4 linked regions of the Drosophila melanogaster genome follow. The protein of the gene in region 1 interacts with the protein of each later gene in a pairwise test. Each region holds a gene or a part of one and is shown in the gene's direction. Other genes may lie near its edges.

Evidence for each region.
Region 2: the proteins of CG13627 (region 1) and CG12237 interact in a two-hybrid assay, tested with the Drosophila melanogaster proteins (one large-scale study listed by BioGRID).
Region 3: the proteins of CG13627 (region 1) and CG13114 interact in a two-hybrid assay, tested with the Drosophila melanogaster proteins (one large-scale study listed by BioGRID).
Region 4: the proteins of CG13627 (region 1) and Cp15 interact in a two-hybrid assay, tested with the Drosophila melanogaster proteins (one large-scale study listed by BioGRID).

Annotation. Positions count from the first base shown.
Region 1 is NT_033777.3:24,711,067-24,717,999, forward strand, and holds CG13627 (uncharacterized protein), read left to right. Parts: upstream 1-1,713; 5' UTR 1,714-1,840; coding exon of another isoform or gene 1,841-1,909; 5' UTR 1,910-2,025; coding exon 2,026-2,031; intron 2,032-3,717; exon of another isoform or gene 3,718-3,911; coding exon of another isoform or gene 3,912-3,917; intron 3,918-3,983; coding exon 3,984-4,541; intron 4,542-4,651; coding exon 4,652-6,019; intron 6,020-6,080; coding exon 6,081-6,242; 3' UTR 6,243-6,364; downstream 6,365-6,933. Other genes in the region: CG46316 (uncharacterized protein), read left to right, coding at 1,841-1,909; Polr2L (RNA polymerase II, I and III subunit L), read left to right, coding at 6,552-6,646, 6,730-6,838.
Region 2 is NC_004354.4:19,640,576-19,644,948, reverse strand, and holds CG12237 (uncharacterized protein), read left to right. Parts: upstream 1-2,079; 5' UTR 2,080-2,251; coding exon 2,252-3,172; 3' UTR 3,173-3,758; downstream 3,759-4,373. Other genes in the region: Arp10 (Actin-related protein 10), read left to right, coding at 1-279; Sec61gamma (Sec61 gamma subunit), read right to left, coding at 856-1,062.
Region 3 is NT_033779.5:9,543,993-9,548,102, forward strand, and holds CG13114 (uncharacterized protein), read left to right. Parts: upstream 1-1,818; 5' UTR 1,819-1,940; intron 1,941-2,024; coding exon 2,025-3,305; 3' UTR 3,306-3,432; downstream 3,433-4,110. Other genes in the region: CG13113 (uncharacterized protein), read left to right, coding at 183-800.
Region 4 is NT_037436.4:8,726,685-8,729,668, forward strand, and holds Cp15 (chorion protein 15), read left to right. Parts: upstream 1-1,796; 5' UTR 1,797-1,842; coding exon 1,843-1,854; intron 1,855-1,925; coding exon 1,926-2,261; 3' UTR 2,262-2,382; downstream 2,383-2,984. Other genes in the region: Cp18 (chorion protein 18), read left to right, coding at 151-165, 340-843. UniProt on the Drosophila melanogaster protein: Chorion membrane (egg shell) protein; plays a role in protecting the egg from the environment.

The DNA of each region.
Region 1 (6,933 bases):
CAAAAAAAGAAAAACGAAAAAATATTTTTTATAATTTCGCAGCACTTTCACATGATACCCGCACACGCACACATACACATCCGGCAATGTGTGCTAAATAAATTGTATAAATAATGCAAACCCAAAAAAAAAAAAAACAATGCAAATCATATTAATGTAGTTACATTTTTTTAGTTTTTACTCGCTATTTATATGAGGTATATTTACACAACGGAAAACGTAAAAGTAGACATAAATAAAACGTAAAAAGCGATAAAAAAAATTCATTAATTTACATTGAAATTAAAGTAAACTAAACCGAAATCAGAGCAGAAAGCATAAAATGACAAATTAGTTTAAAATGGTCCTGCAAAGGCAAAAACAACAAAAAATAAACAACATTTTAAATAACAAATTGAAGAGCTAAAAATGCATATTTTAAACATTTGTCTAAAACGCAACCGAAAGAAAAAACCAAAAGAAATGATAAATGTATGAAATAAAAGGTATAATAATAATATTATGTTGTTAATGTTTAAAAAACCTTGTTAAAAATAATATTTCAAAATAAAATATAAATACGGAAAAAAATAGCAAAGAAATTACCACCAAACTGAGAGCTTTATGAAAGTGAAATTTTGATTTATGTCCCAAAACTTTGGGCCGCCAAATACTGACCCAAAAAATGGCTGGCCGGGCGTTATAAAATTCCAATGACCAATTGCGTTTAGAAATTGGATGTCGCGCCTTGCATAAAATGCGACCAATTATTGGGGAGCGTTTCATAAGCATGTCTCATTATCATCGAAGGGCCTTTGGTATATGTACATCCGAAATGTGAAGCCTATCATACGGAATCCATTGGTTATGGAAATTGCATCCATTCGTTTTTGGGACACATCTGAATTAAGTTACATTACCATCAAATATCGCTTAAAATACAGCTCAAGCTTTTCTACGAAACCCTTAGCCCCCAATTGAGCTGACTTCCGTACAAAAACTAATTCGAAAAAGCTTTCACGCATTCCTTTGAGTCTTCGACGAGTTTAGCCAGATATTTAATGCAGTTAAATATGAGTTTAAAATTATTGGAAAAATATTGGCAACATCTTAAAAAGTATGAAAATGTTATAATAATATCTTATTATTCCCAAAATATTGTTTGGTTCCGCTTTAAAATGTTTGCTATTTTCCCCACTGTGCCTGCCGCATTTCGTAATTTCAATCGGTGGCTCTGCTCCTGTTTGCTGCCCCAGCAAAAAAAAAGACTTAAAAAGTGGGGCCAACAGGTGACAGACGGCGGCATTGGGGGGCCATCTCTTGATCATGTGCGCCTGGTCCGCATTGCTTTTTAAGGTAAAGAGCGAGTGCTGACTTGCGACGACAACAAGTTCGCTGCTTAAGTCTTTTGTTTGGCGCCGTCTCTTTCGCTCCTTTCTTTCGCCGGCCAAGAACAGTCAATGGGAAAACACTTTCGTTGCGATTAATCGGCCACTTGCTGGCAATTCATGTAGCTGCTGGTCGCGTGCTGCGCTTTATCCACTGCAAACTAGTTTTATTTGTTGGCTTTTTATTTATTTTATTTTTTTTTTTTTGTATTTCATTCGGCGCCAGAGTCAAGAAAATCCGACCACTTTCTTCAGTGCGCACTTCCAATGCGAGTCGTCACTCCATTCCAGTGGAACTCCAGCGGATGGGCACATGGTTTTTGTCCGCCACCAGCGACCAACTAACAGTCAGTTGTCTTCGCGACTTGAACAGGTGCGGACGTCGCTGCTCCTCGAATTTATATTCGAAACTCTTTACAAATCTTTTGTGCGTGCAGTTTAAGATCGAAGAAAGCGCCGCGGCGCTCGTTGACATGAAGTTAATTGACGTGATTATATACCTAATTGCCATTTTGATCTTCATCTATTTGCTGCTGGAGTAGCAGAAGAAGCCAAAAGTTGCTCGACATTTGCCCCAGAGCTTTCTACAGTCTACCAGATCCATCAGCCAGCTACCCGACAATAAAACAACGAAAATCTCTAGCAAATCCGAAAGAAGATGAGGGTAAGTGATTCACGCGGGTATTGTGAGTTTGTTGGCCACAATTAGCGGTTATTAAAAAGTCTCTCACTGCGCACAGCATAACACAATAATGGATTGGCTTTAATTTCTATTGCAAATTCAATGGCATTTCTTCTTCTCATCGGCGATCAACGACTTCAGACTGAGATTGGCATTCAAATTTGGTATCACCTTCACCTTCGCCAGCAAAGCCAGCAAATTGCAATCGCTGCACAATGAAGCTGTAGCTTCTTCAATTGAATTGAAGTCGTCGGAATATTTGTCAAATTGCAAGGTGGCCGGCAAAGCGAGCACTTTCATTTGCAATGGGAGCACTTGATGCGCCAAGTTTCGCCAAGATCCAGACAATGGATGGCTTTACGTGCACCAATTGCATCGCACACTGTGAGTTGCAAGCTGCAAACTGTGAGGCACAGGCGGCTGCCTCAATGTGCAGCGGGCTTGAAAATAAAATGCTTGCCGCTAAAATAAAAGTTGCATTTCGAGTTGCAATTTGGGTTAACCACACCGTTGTTTATGGTCGACGCTGTGGCGACAGCCCGCTGATCAATAGTTCCGCCTAGGCCGTTGGCAAAAATCCTTTGTCAGGTTCAATGGCACTGCCGGCCAAGCCCAAAAGGAAACCCGAAATTATGCGAATTCCATTTGGACTTTCGTTGAACGGGTTATCCGCCGTCGCCGTGGGCCATTCCCTGCCAGACTTTTCAGTGTTTGGCATCGGGCACCCGTCTCCTGGCAGCAGTTCATTCACCAGCAGGCCGCCCCTGGTATTTGCATATGATTATGATGCATGTTGCAATGGCGACAAACTAACTAACTTACTAACTAACCACTCCATAAACAATAAGCCACCAATTTTGTGGCAATTACCCCGATCACCGCCGCTGCAGTCAGTTTCAGTTGCAATCGGCAATCCGTTTAAGCAAACGCAGCACGTAATCAATAACTATACGTATTGGACTCGCCTAGGCATTTCACCTCTTGATTGACGTCTGGCTAACGGCACACCGTATTGCCATTGTCATTGCCGCCGCTCCGGTGGCTCCAGTGGCTCTGCTGGTGCGCTGCCCAGGTGAAATTTCAATGTCCAGTGGCCGCCTCAAATTACCCACTTCCCCTTCCATCGACGAGACTAAAGAGACCCATGCCAGCCGCGCTGAAGAGGCACATACTCATTCTTTTCAAGGAATAACATGCATTTCATTTTAATGGTTCCTATATATGTTTCTATAAAAATCTGACATTTTACGCCTTAATAAATTTATTAGATGCATGATATGTATTTCTTTCTTCGTTATTGTGTTATACCTAAACTAATAGAGCCATTCCCTTTAACCTATATAAAATGCATGAAAAATCCAAAATACTCGTATATAACGTATAAGGTAGGCTGTAAGTTTCTAAAGCCAATTTCAATGAAAGTGTCACCAAATGAGTCAGTGATGCATTATACCCGCCGAATTGTAAACAATGCGACAGTAAAATTTATAGAACGAAGACATTTCGATGACGGACTTTTCACTTTCATTCTATGGCATTGTGGACAGAAAGTTTAATCAGCCATCGAAGCGGGGAAAATGGGCAAAGTATTATGGCATACCCGTATAAATATATATGTATGTATATTTATAAATGCGAAGCTACTTTGTTTGGCTCGTTTGCTTAAGCAGCTTTGGTTAAGTAGCCAATGGCAGGCGACGTGATAAAATTTTAGAAAACCGCCAATTTGTTCAAATTAAGGCCATTACAGTTTTGTTGCTGTCCAGCGATTACAAGACCCTCCTCCTTCCTCACCGCCCCTTTTTTTCTTCTTCGCCTTTGCCGGGCTTAGAAAGTTTTTATTTCTTTCGGCGTTTTGTTCGATGTCTGTATGTACGAGTAATTATGTTTTTGATTTAATGGTCTTTGACATTGTCCCATCCCATCCTCGCCAGCCATTTCTGCTGTTCGCACTGCTCCTGGCGCTGGCTAACTGCGAGCAGCGTCCACTGGTTTTCACCAACTGGCCACCGAAGAGCTCCAAGCAGCTGAGTCGTCCCGCCATTGGAGCTGGAGGTCCTGGATCCGCTGGAGCGCCTGGAAAGCAGCGCACGCTGGTCGTCCAAATACGCAGCGATCAACCGGTGCCCTTGGTACTGAAGGGTCGTCCTGGACATGGAGCGCACAGCCATGCCGCCCATCTGGCCCATCCGCATTCCGTGCATCCTGCACATGTCCTGTCGCACGCCCATTCACATGCCCATCTACACTCGCATCCGCTGATCCATGTGCCACATCAGTACCAGCATCAGCACCTACGCGGACCACCTCGTCCCATGAAGCTGAGTGGTCCGTCGCCCGTGTACCTGAAACCAGCTGGATCTCTAAGGAAACCACTGAAGATCAAACTGAACAATGTGAAGCCCAAGACGAAACCCACATTCGGATACGACAAGCCCTTTAAGTACGAGAAGCCCACTGCTGTGAGCTACAGCGAGCTGCAGAATCTGCCGGTAAGTGGAGTCCATTGAAAATGTCCTGCTCTTAAGATATCCTTATACTGCACATGCCCCCCACTCCCCTGAACATATAACATAACTCCATTCATGCTGATCCCCCACAGCTGGACACGCACAACAACTTCAACACCGAGCACTTTGCACCCATTTACACGGTACCCGCACCGAACCTGGCCGACAATCACCTGGACGTGGAGGAGGGTCATCTTGACACCTCCTACCTGTACAAGCCTCCTTCCCAGACCCAGATCCAAACACCATCCTCCTCAGCCCGTCCCCAGACATATTTGCCACCGAAGTACAGTGTGCATGAGGACGAGACCAATGACCAAACCATTCGTGATCCCATTTCGGGTTCGCAGAAACTCTTTGCCCCAGATCCGGATCCCTCGCTGCCCACCACCAAGATTCGCCCCGCCACCGAATCTTTCAATACGCCCAGCAACAACAAACCGCTGCCCGCCGACGTCCAGAGTAACCATCTGCCAGCCCAGCCATTGGTTCAGATTGTGGGAGCCCAGACGGCAGCCCAAACGGCGCCAGAGATCTATCCCATTCAGTATGCCCAGCCGGCGGTTCACTCCCAGTCCTTTATCGCCGCCATTCCGGCTGCCCACATTCCCATCTATAATCCCACCTACCTGGTGACGCAGTCCAACCAACTGTACTCGGCCCACAAGCAGCAGCTTTTCAAGCCCAGCTCGGAACCGGTGGTGGAAACGGGTTACGTGAACGCCGATCTCACCCAGGAGGTAGCCAGCAATGGACAGATACTGCAGGCAGCCAAGGATCCACATCACAACATCCATCCTGTACTTGATTCGGCGCCACAATATGCTGCTCTTATTGCCGCTCCGGCACTGGGTGATCCCAATGAGGGTGCCTACGAGACGGCCTCCTTCCACCTGCCCAATGTGGCGTCAGCGGTCACTGCCTCCGTTCCGGAAGGTGGCTTCGTGGTGTCCAACTTCTATGGCCATGCCCACGACTCTTCCCAATTGCTGCAGGCCTACGCAGAGGAGGAGGCACGTCGACAGCAACTGGAAACAGAGCAAGCCGCCATTGAGCTGCAAAAGCAGCAGCAGTTGCATCTGGAGGAGCTTAAGGCGCAGGCCCAGGAGCAACAGCAGCAGCATCAGCTGCATCTGGAGGAGCTGAGGGCTCAGGCGCAGTACCAGCAGCAGCAACAGCAGCAGTTCGAGGAACTGCAGGCACAGGCACAGGAGCAACACTTGCAGCAGCAACACCAGCAGCATCAGTTGCAGCTCTTGCAATTGCAGCAGCAGCAACAGCAGTTGCAGCAACCAGTGCAGCACCATCCGCCGCAGCAGCTGCAACAGCAGCAGCAGCAGCAGGTGGCTCAGGATCCAGCAGCAAGTGCATTCGAGGAGCACCAGCGATTGGTGCAGCAGCAACTTGGCGCCAACACGCCACTTCGCATCTTTGTGCCCGACGAGGAGGCCGCCGAATCGGTAGGTAAAATTAGACAAGAAATTCTTCCGTATGCTAACATTTGAGACTTTCCTTGTATAGCGACTGCAAAAGAGATCGGATGATGTGAAAAAGGGCACGGTGGAGGATGTGTCCAGTGCGGGTCGGAACGACGGCGACAGCGAGGAGTCAGCCAAAGATTTGTTCGAGGTATCCACCTCCGTCGAAGTGGCCGGCGAGCATCTCACGGCCAGCAGTAATTAGTTAACGCACTTTTAGTCTTCGACGCTGTTCAAAAATATTTATTTACACACTCATTTGTAAAAAACGCATTCATGTAGCGAGCAGTCGGTAGTTAATAAAAATAACCATTAATTTATTCAAATATTCGTTAGCGTTCTTTTTGAATGGATATAAGTTTTTGTGTTATCGATACATTGTAATGCTGGTGAGATAAAAATACAACTGCACTCTGGTCACACTCATGACAAGTAAAAACACATTTTACCAAAAACATTGTTGTGATTGCACATTTTTCGTGATTTAACTAAGAATTAGAGCCTGATCTACAAAATGATTATTCCAATCCGTTGTTTCACCTGCGGCAAGGTCATTGGCAACAAGTGGGAGTCGTATTTGGGTCTCCTGCAAGCGGAATACACCGAAGGGTAAGTCACGCGGGAAAGTCTCCTTTCCACGCCGCATTTCATCATATAATATATATATATTATATCTTACAATCCAATCCCAGAGATGCCCTGGATGCTTTGGGTCTAAAGAGGTACTGCTGCCGTCGCATGCTCCTGGGCCACGTGGATCTTATCGAAAAACTGCTCAACTATGCTCCTCTGGAGAAGTGAACGGCACAATGGAAACCATCCAAACTGGACTTGGGAATAAAAACTCTAGATTTTATTGTAAAATTACAAATTAAAGCTTGATCGATAGCCCTAGA
Region 2 (4,373 bases), on another chromosome or scaffold:
GGCGGCTCAATGGTCCAGGGTCTGCTGGCCCGCCTCCGCCAGGAGCTGCAGCATCTGCTCACCGAGGATCCGTTCTACGCCGAACGCTTCCATGGCGAGCTGCAGTTCAAGTTTTTCAATGCTGTCGGCAAGCAAAACTTTACTGCCTGGCTGGGCGGCGCCTTGTGCGGCGCGACGGATCTCATCCAGACACGATCGCTGGTCAAGGAGACGTATCTAAAGAGCGAGCACGTTCCCGACTGGAGCAACCTGTGCGATAATAGGCCGACAGGCTCGTAGACTCGAGGGCAGTCCCGGAAGATGGAAATATGTACGCTTCGGCGCTTTACTGGTTACGCGTACTAACATACTCTTGATTATTATTCTGTAATATATAGGTATTAAATATTTACGAAATATAGGCTAACGAGCTTTAAACAAAATATTGCTTGTACGTTTTCTGGACATTTATTCTTGGTTCTAATGATGATGTCGGTTTATCAGCTTCATTTACAACTTTACTTTCTTCAAGCAATGTAACGTTGCGTCTCTCAGAGTTAAAAGAATCTCATTTGTACACGGAAAATCAATTTAACATTTATTAGCGGGGATGCGCACCCCAAACAAATGCTATGAAGACGGGTGATTCCTTTTTACATTTGAATCTTATTAACTAACTTGTTCATGAATGGAATATCGAAACATTACAATACGTTTTCGTACGTTTGTGTAGAATTTTGTTAGAAAGGCATTCGCTGAATGCACATGGTCCATACATATAATGCATGTTAACTAAACGAAAAAAAAAGACGTTGATCTGATGTATGCTATAATGGATGATTGGATGATTGGTGGTTTCCTTGCCACTCAGCGCATTTAAGAGCCCACGATGATATTGTTGATGGGGATGTGTATCAACTTAACGAAGAAGCCGATGAAGCCCATGATGCAGAAGCCCACAGCAGTGGCGATGGCGATCTTCTGGAACTCCTTGCGGTCGGGCTTGGTGCACCGCTTGACCAGGCGGATCGAGTCCTTGGCGAAGGCGCGTCCAGGCTCGGCAAACTTAACAACCTTGTCCATGTCTTGTCAGATATTTGGGATTCTGCAACGAAAGCGAAGGAAAGTGCTAATCAGTAAAAGGTATTCAGCGCTTTCACAGCAACGTCAGCTGCGACGTGGCAAATGGTTGGCGACGGCACAGGTGAAATCGCGTTGCCCATTTCCACAAATTCGCCCAACAAGTTATCCAGCTATCACAGCTCCAACAGGGGTCAGTGGCTGAAGATCACCATTAATGTCTGTGCCACCACCAACCCAATCGCTTCGATTCACCAAATCAGCAGGATTTGGTAAAGAAACGGGAAAAAGTGCAAGGTCCACAGGCAAAGAACGGCGCGCAGGGCAAATAAACCTCTGCTGCGTGTGCTTGATAGCCATTCAAACCATTTTAATTGAAAAACTGTGCGAGCGCAGCTGAAAATCAAATAAGCAAACACACATACCTCCGCTTTAATTCAGAATTTCCAACTAAATGAGATACAATCGTCGACTGCCGCGTAGACCCCGTTATTCGTATGTGTTTGCCGATGACAGCTCCACGTCGGCTGTCAAACGCCAGGGCTACGCTACACTGGGGCCGAGCTGTCAGTGGTGGCAGGGATGCCAGCTTGGCTATTTTGCAGCTGGATGCTATGAAAGCTTTGGAATGCTCCAAACGTTAGCTAATTTGTAGCCTAATTTTATTATATTCAAAGTTGAATTTTTGTTCACATTCCTTAACTATTTTTACTCGTTGGGGAGTAACCATATTATATCGTTAACTAGTTGAAAAAATGTGAGTTCACAATGCTTTAATGCTTCACACCAATCTTTACATAAGTAAGGTAACTGGATGAATTTCAAACAAAGAACTACAGATTTAATCGAACTAATAGAGCGCGTTATATTATTTCATTTTTAATCAAATATAATATTTACAACAACATATTATATTAACAACATTATATTTATATTGAAGCAAAACCTAATTCCAATTAGAAATAGAGATAATAATAAGAACAAGACAGGACTTGCACTATTGCATTTTTGTGGTATATAATCGGTATTTTGCACATCCAAGCGCACGCACAACGGTGTTTGCGCCCAGGCGACCTGGCATTTAGCATCGTGGGCGGCGCGGACACACTGGTCCTCGCACAAAACTCGCACTCGAACTTGCTCTCCGCGCGCTCTGAGCGCATCCATAGCCGGAGCAGGAGCGGAGCACACGATGTCCTCGAACCAGGAGCAGTCACCCGCCGCAGTGGCCGCGGCCGTGGCCAGCTGCAGGCTAAGGAAACAGCAGCGCCGTCGACTGGCGGCCTTCGACTTCGACCACACGATCGTTTCCCAGAACACGGACACCGTGGTGCGCGACCTGCTGCCCACGGAGGTGACGAGCGCCAAGGTCAACGAGCTGGTTGAAAACGACTGCTGGACGGAGTACATGGCCGAGGTGTTTCGCTTGCTGCACGAGCAACAGGTGTCGGAGGCGCGCATTAGGGACACCATTCGTGGCATACCCGAGGTGCCCGGATTCGTGCGCCTGATCAAGCATCTGGCCAAGCGGCTGCACTACGACCTGATCATCATCAGTGACTCGAACAGCGTCTTTATCGACGAGTGGCTGCGGGCACATAACTTGGCCGATTGCTTTGTGGCCATCTTTACCAATCCGGCGGAATTCGATGCCTCCGGACGGCTTATGGTCCGCGCCCACCACCAGCAGTCGGATTGCAAGCTGAGCGCCAGCAATTTGTGCAAGGGCCGCGTGCTGGAGCACTTTGTCATCGAGCAGGACCTGCGGCGCAGCATACGCTATGACCACGTCTTCTATGTGGGCGACGGCAACAACGACATCTGCCCCGTGCTGCGGCAGCGGGCGTGCGACTTTGCCTGCGCCCGCAAGGGGTTCGCAATGGAGAAGCACCTGCTCCGCAATCGCAGCAAATTGAAGCTGCGCGCCCAGCTGCTGATCTGGAAGAGCGGCTTCGATCTGATGGACCAGATGCTGGCCCTGCCGCAGCTGAAGACCCCCCAGGTGCAGGGCGATGGGGATCAGCCGGATCAGGATGCGGATACGGATGGCAAAGTACCGGAGGTGGCACGTCGGGCATCGGCAGTTGCCGGGCCGACCAAGTCGCCCAACTAAGGTGGCATGTGCTCGCATTTGGCACCGGCACGAGTAAGTAGAACGGGTAATCCTCGAGAGTGACGATTGCCCAGCTGCAGGATGGCCATCGCATAGGAAACTGCTACTTTGGAGCACGATATGGTATTTCATGGTATCGAAAGATACCGTTCCTTGTTCCTTGTTTTGGACTATGCTGTGCGATAGCAATCATGCGGTTCTACGATGCCAGGAGTACTCGTGAGGGTCTCAAATGCGAAACCATCCATCCCGATCCCATCATCCCCATCCAGTTGTTGGTTGCATCATGTGGTCTGGTCTGGTTCTTTATTTGATCCGCTCGCCACTTCGCTGCACTGGCCGTGCCAAGTGTACTGGGTGGATCTGTATTTATATCTGTGTGCCGGGACTTTACCTGCAAAACAATTTGTGGAAATCCAAACAGTACAACTTCGGAGGTGTGCCCAGGACTTGAGGCGTCAATTTGTGCTGCGGCTGTTAGTGTTTATTCCATGTGTCTATATTTAAACCTGTTGTAATTGAAGCTATTGCAAGCGCTGTATATGAGTGTCCATATTATATGCATTTGAATGTGTGTTTTGCCGTTACTGCACCCGCTGCACTACCTTTTTTTCCTGGGTTGGGCTGGGCTGGTCTGGAGCACTGGGTGCTCTTGGTGCACACCACGCGACCTAGAGCGGGACAGCAGCATGCCAGCTGCGTGGCCAGGAGCGGGACGGGGATAGCAGCAGATGCGCTTTCTGCGCAATTTTCTCGACTTTTGTTTACACACCTCGCAGGATGAGCCATTTGCATTCAGTAGAGTGATTGATTGTGATGGTCAGAACTTACATATGTATATAGAACCTATAAGATTCGTTCGGGGACACCCCCTACTATCAAATATACACAGCAAATAGCAAATATAGCAAATCCGGACAGTAGCCCAAAAGTATGCAGCGAAAAGATGATTATGAACTTTTGCGGGATTGTTAATATCCTCTGTTAGAATATTGATATTAAAAAAAAAAACAAACACGCATAAATATTTATATCGTATCGTCTGCTCGAGGTTCTTTATTGGGTGTCAGTGACAATCTTAGTATTAACATTAATTTATTTGTAATTTATGTAGGTATATTACAGCTCCGCTTAAGTCGACACAGGCAATCTCGTGCACGCTTATGAAATATGTATGTATGTATGTATGCATGTTTATGTA
Region 3 (4,110 bases), on another chromosome or scaffold:
TCACGATACAGGTGGCTTCGATACTGTGATAAGCATAAACTAATGCTATCGCCGCCAGACGCGACATGGCCCATAGATGCCTCTAATCTCACGTAGCTGCTGCCACTTTGGGGGCGTCCAATTACCGGCGCAGTCGACGTCGTCGATGGCGATTCTATTGGATTTGGCTAACGCTCTGACCAATGCATCCATGGAGCATCAGTGCGAAAATGGTCGGCTGCCCGGAGACACGACAACTACTGGTCACATTGCTATTGACCCTTGGCTTCTGCCTGGGGGGAAGCTCAAAGGATACAGTTGCGGATGCGGATGCCAAGTGGATGGCTCCACTTAAGCAGTATGGGTATACGCCGCAGCATCTGAAGAACAAAGTGGAGCATGGTGAATTCACCACCTTCGAACTGGGCACCCCCAACTACCAGATTCTCAATCCCGAAGACGAACCGGAATACATAACTGCGGATCAACCGCATTATCAGGAGATGCTGAGGCGACTTACCAGTGGTCGTAGTAAAGCTGACACCATTGATGTGGAAATGGCAAGTCGCACGGAAACGGTTCGCGAGACTTCCGATCCGGGTCAATCTAAAAAACCATCTCAAATTCAAGTGCCAGTTAAACCGAAGACACAACTAAAACAAAATCGCTGGGAGAAACTAAGGAAGCGCAGCTCCATCGAAAAAAGACGTGACCACAAGGAAACCATGGAAACTGATGTGCGGGATGATCAAAGTTTCTTCCCTGATATTCAGGTTTACCCCGGCTTACCCTTCCAAAGTCGTGTAGCAAATCTAAATTAATCATAAATAAGTCACCTCATCCAAATGTGCAAATGGCTTTGATTTTAAGTGATCTCTGGTGATTCGGACAATGAATAAATACTAAAAGTATAAAAGTAAAAAAAATAAAGTACTTTTTTAAAGGACTACTTTAAATAAATCGGAGTTTTTTGCTATTTTTCTTTGTAAGGCTAAAATTGTTATGACTTTTACTCGCAATAATGAAAATAGTGATGTTGCTTATTTTTGTTAAAACAAAAAAGATTAAGAGTGCCCCCAATTTTAAGCAGAGTTTTCCCAAAATGTTGTTTAAATAATGAGCTAGACAAAATGTTAAATGGTCAAGATACTATTATTTAAATCAGTAAAGCTTTTGTACTCAATTTGTAGGAAGATAATTTAGGTATTGAGCAATATCGCTTACAAAAATACCATTATCCATAGTGTACGTGTAGACCTTGAGTTCCACAAAGAATTACAACCAAAAATTGATAAGTCAATCGACCCCAGACGTTAATATCAGATCTAGGCCGAGACCCAGAAATTATAAATCCCCCAAGCAGCTGGAAATTTTGTGCAGAACCGAAAAAATGATCATTGCGGTCGGAATGGTTTTGGCTATTTATAAAATTAAAGATTTCAGGAGGATTGTTTATTCTGGCTAATGAGAAACTGCCTAAAAAAAATGCATTATGAAGTTCGTCTTTCTCTTAAAGGTTATTGTCATGCCAAAGGTCATACATAAATATGTTTGCTATATGTTTTTGATTAAACAACTCTTGTCGCGAGCACTCCAAGCTATCGACGAGTGCGGGCAGAAATGCTTGAATGTGTATTACGGAAGCGGCGGCATCTGGCGATTGTCTTTACCCATTCCGGACCCATTCCGGACAACCACGCCCCATTCCGAGCCGTTTGGGGCGTTTGGAACGTGATGCGGTCAACGCTTCCGCGACCCATTTGCTCGGCGTTGTAAGAACGAGAAGAAGAAGCTCTCGGCCAGCGCAGCGTATTTAAGAGCTATTCAGCAAAATGCATGAAAGAGTTTCGCACGCGACCGACCAACAGCCAACAAGTGCCATCCATCGGCGATCCGGGACAGAAATTCCAGCAATTGTGGGGAAAGTGATCGAGCGAGCGAGGGAGAAATTCAGTTGAAAGGTAGGGTAACGGGGTCAATCGATTGGGAACGATTCCGGCGCAATTCTCTGACCCATTCTAAATTCAATATTCTCCCCCCTTCAGATGTTCGAACGCTGCAATTTATTATTTATGACCATGCTGATGGCATCGGCACTATTGACCCAAGCCCATTTCCCGGAATATTGTGCGGAATGTGAACAGGAGGTGTGGGAACAGGTGCCGTGCAGCGAGGTGCCCACAACGGTAGCGCCAACAACAACCGGAGGCTCTACGTTGAGCCCGCCCACAACCAGCGCCACCAGCCCGGGACCTATTTACCCAACAACAACCAGTGCCCCACCCACGCCCACGGATTACACTACACAGCCATCGGAGTACAAGAAGTGCTACTGCGAATGCAAGCTGGGCTGCAAGGAGTTCTGCCGCAAGGTGATCTCTTCTGAGCCCAAGCAGCCGCTCACCCAGATCTCATCCATTGGGGAGTATGCCCCAGGTGGCCAGGTGGAGTACACGCATGTCCATCAGCGCAAATACTTTCCCAAGTACGGAGGCGAATCCTATGGGGGATTGGTAGGACCAGTGGGCGGACCCAAGGCCTATAAGCCATATCCATTGGTCTACGAACAGGCGGCATCAGCTGCTTCACCGGCTTCCATTCCCTCGGTGGCTTCCTCACCAGCGGTGGCCAGCATAGCTGCTCCTAATTACACGCTGGAGGAGTTGGCCCAATTGCTTAGCACTGCGTATGGCACCAAGAAGGGCTACCCAGCTAGTGTGCCAACTCCGCCACGTATTCAGCTTCAGCCAGCTCCCTCCGTTTTCTATTCCCCGGTTCCAAGCTACAAAAAGCAAGTGGTTCCACTCGTGAGCAAAGTGGCGCCGGCACCCAAAATCTCCTCCAGCATTAAGTATGCCGCCTCAGCGGTTTCATCATCATCATCGGGCGTGTCGGTGGCCAAGATAAAGACTCCCTACGAGGAGAAGATTGTGGTGGCCACACCGTCTCCCATTTATGAGAGATCCACATCGTATCCTATTGTTGAAGCACCCAAGGAATACTCGGCGCCCCAGACGGAAGTCTATCCCGTTGTGCAGAGCCAAACGGAGTCGTATCCCAGCCACACACCCATATATCCAAGTCCCACGGAATCCTATCCCAGCCAAAAGGACTCCTACCCCAGCATCACAGAGTCATATCCCAGCCAAACTGAGTCCTATCAACCGCGTACGGAAGCCTATCCCGTACCCCAACCGGAGATCAAGCCATATGGTGGTCCCGATTCTGGACCCGATAAGCCATCGTCCACGTTCGATCTGGCCATCGATAATTATCTGAAGGACTTCGGATATGGCAACCAAGGAAGGGGATATGCGGACTACTAAAGTTCCATACGTTGTTTTTTAGGATTAGTCTAGGCTAGAATGTTTTCTAGGTATCCCATTATTTATTGATGTACTCCCCGTTTCCTGTTGACTACATGATGATTAAATAAATTATTAACAAAAAACTAAAGAATATTATGGTCTTAGTATTATAGTTGAAATAACTATTGCATACTTTTGGGCTATAAAGTAGCAATTTCCCCCCTTCGATTTTGTTAAAAGAATTAATGAAACAAGAGATAAAAATTTACAAGACTAATAAAATTATGAAAAAAAGCTTTTATAGTTCCTGAAATCTCGACTTTCATACGGACATAACCAGATCGACTTGGCTATTGATCCTATTGATCAAGAATATATATACTTTATACATAGTATAAAGTAGCGAGTTTGCTACTTTTCAAAAACGATCATTTATAATTCGGCTTGACGCATTTTATTATTTGTATTTAAAAAGTTTTCTTCATTTGCATTCATTTTTTTATATACTTTCTTGTTGTCGATAACATTGAATAAGATTTCATCTTACGCATTTCGCCAGCTTAATTCTGGTTTATGCTTGCCAATTTTGATAAGCATAGATATATACACAAATTAGATTCATAAATTTTCGTATGCAAATATATATGATTTATGCAATATGAATGTTTTCAAACAGCGCTTATTTAACCGTTGATCAAGGCGAATCCAAATTGTTTTTGGTATTTCCAATTTGTATTTTCACAAATTTTACGCACCAGCTCAAGTCTTTCATTTTCTAAGGTTTTACATTTGTGGAGCTTATTCATTTCAATTTTCTGTATGA
Region 4 (2,984 bases), on another chromosome or scaffold:
GTCTGCGGGAACCCGGAGAGCCGAAACTTGCATCATATTCGTCACGTAAGAGTTGGGCCTCTGCCTGGATCTGGTATAAAAACAAAACATTGCGCCAGAATAAGACATTAGTTACCTTCGCATCGATCAACTAACCAACTCAGCCTCAGAATGATGAAGTTCATGGTAAGCCTTAAGTTCCAATATTGTTTCTATTGACACCTCAACTGAGTCCAGTATGATCCTTTCAATAAAATATAACTACATATTATAATAATTGGATAATATGATTGGATCTTTCTTTTCTAATACACTTCAGTCTAAACCCAAATTAATTGAATTTTTTCTTGAATCCCTTAGTGCATCTGCCTCTGCGCCATCTCTGCCGTTTCGGCCAACTCCTACGGACGTTCCCGTGGTGGATACGGTGGTGCCCCAGTCGGTGGCTATGCCTACCAGGTGCAGCCTGCCCTGACCGTTAAGGCGATCGTTCCCTCATACGGTGGTGGATACGGCGGAAACCATGGAGGATATGGCGGTGCCTACGAGTCGGTGCCTGTGCCCGTGTCCTCTGCCTACAGCGGTGCCAATGTGGGATCTCAGTACTCCGGTTCCGGCTACGGCGGTGCCCCACCAGTTGATGCCCAGGCCATTGCCCTCGCCAAGCTCGCCCTGGCCGCTCCCAGCGCTGGAGCTCCTCTGGTCTGGAAGGAGGCTCCCCGCTACGCCCAGCCCGTCTATCCCCCCACCAGCTACGTGAACCAGGAGTACGGACACAGCGAGAAGGTGAAGGGAGGCTCCGCAGCCGCTGCTGCCAGCTCCGTGGCCGCCGGAAAGAAGGGCTACAAGAGGCCCAGCTACTAAGTGGCAAAACGTTGAACAGTGAACCAAAAACTTACCTGCCCATAAGGAACTAGGTCATAATAATAAAAGCCAAAACATCAAGACTTAAAATTTTGAGTACTGTATTCTTGCTGGGTTTTTAGTTTCGGGCCGAGAATTGAGATCTGCATATCTTAGCTGAATTGGCATAGACTTGCGGTTCATTGCAATGCCAAGCGATACTTTGAGCCAGCAAAAATTTCGTGGTTTCGTAGTTAAATGAAAATGCTGCTTAAAGTGCTAAAGAATAATTCTCATGGCGAATGAAGCTGAAAAGCTAAAACTAAATTCATTTGTGGGGCCACTTTAAAACTATAGTTCGTCAAATAAGCCTTGACTTTTTTAAGTTACCATAAGTAAAGAACCTATTAGATAAAATGAGATTAGATAGAATATAGTTTTGCTTGAAATTATGTTTTTGTAAAATTTCAAAATGATTGAAATACTTTAAAATGTTTTAGTTATAATTTTAAGTTTTGTATGTGACTAGTGGTCACTTTAAAGGGATGATTCTATATAGGTTTTATCAGAAAAACCGGCTGGAACCAGTTCTAGAAGAATCCTCACTTAGACAAGCCAAGTTCCGGACACAACCGACCTGGAAACCATTACCCCCGAGAATGTGGATAATATAAAGTTCAATTCAACAAATTTTGGACTGTATTCGAAAATAAACGCGTTCGTGGTTCCCATTTGGAAGAGTCGCGTGTTCGTAGTGCTATCACTACCCAACACCCGGTAGAATAGCACATCGCGTAACCAAGCGATTTTATAATGGCTTGACAACAAGTACATAAATCAAATGTGAGTATATTCCAGCCGGGCAATTATGAAATGCCATTTCTGGGCTGAAACAGAACAATTAGTGTATATAGGTCACGTAAATGTCCAGGCTAAAATTTGCGTATAAAAGCGAGCGTTTCTGGTCGGTAAATCATAGTTTGATTGATTACCCCAAACCAACAAAACTAAGCACTCACCATGAAGTACCTGGTAAGTTGTGGTAGTCCCCGTGAAGGAGTGGCAGCCAACTGATCCTCCGGATTTCCCCTTTTCACCTTCAGATTGTCTGCGTTACCCTGGCCCTTTTCGCCTACATCAACGCCAGCCCAGCGTACGGCAACCGTGGAGGTTATGGTGGTGGCTACGGTGGTGGCTACGGTCCTGTTCAGCGCGTCGTCTACGAGGAGGTGCCCGCCTACGGACCATCCCGTGGCTACAACAGCTATCCCCGCAGCCTGCGATCGGAGGGTAATGGAGGAAGTGCCGCTGCCGCTGCCGCCGCTTCCGCCGCTGCCGTGAATCCCGGAACCTACAAGCAGTACGCCATTCCCTCCTACGAGTTGGATGGCGCTCGCGGCTACGAGATCGGACACGGCTACGGCCAACGTGCTTACTAATTCTCGCTTCATCGGCAGTGAATTGAACTATCGACTCCTTGCTAAAATCCTCGAGTGGCTGTCATGGCGAAACTCTGAGAATCAGTGAATAAAAGCAGCTTGAACGCAATGGAAAATACCGAAAAGAAATACGTATTGTGTGTTTTGCATTGTGACATACTTTTCAGCGCATTCGGGTTAAGATTTAGCGGTGGGTCATTATTATTATTCCACACACAAGATGGGTTTCAAAGTGGGGCAGCTAGAATATTCACTGCGGCAGATTGTACAATACTATATAGAAGTACTATTGCACTTTAAGCTACAAAGTCGACAGGTTAAGCTTCAGTGACTCAAGAATTTAGTCACCTATGAAACCCTTAGTTTCACTAATAGATTCTTAGACGAACATCTTAAATTGTATAATCAAACAAAGGGCTATATATATTACAATAACATATTTGCCAATGTGCATAAAGGCATAGACTCTGAAGTTATGTTTTATCGTTAAAATTTGGTTTGTTCTGTTTACTTGAAGGTATAGATAATATTATAAAATCCATATCCAATAACCATTGGTCAGTCGTTGGCCCGTTATCCCATTAACCCGCTTGCGTTCCCGCACGCACCCAAATGCAACCATTGATTTTGGGCCTCAGTTGGGAGCATCTGCATCTGCCACCCCCAACGAAGGTCAACCGGCGAATGGAGGCGATACGATACGCTGCGGTGAGCAACCTGCTC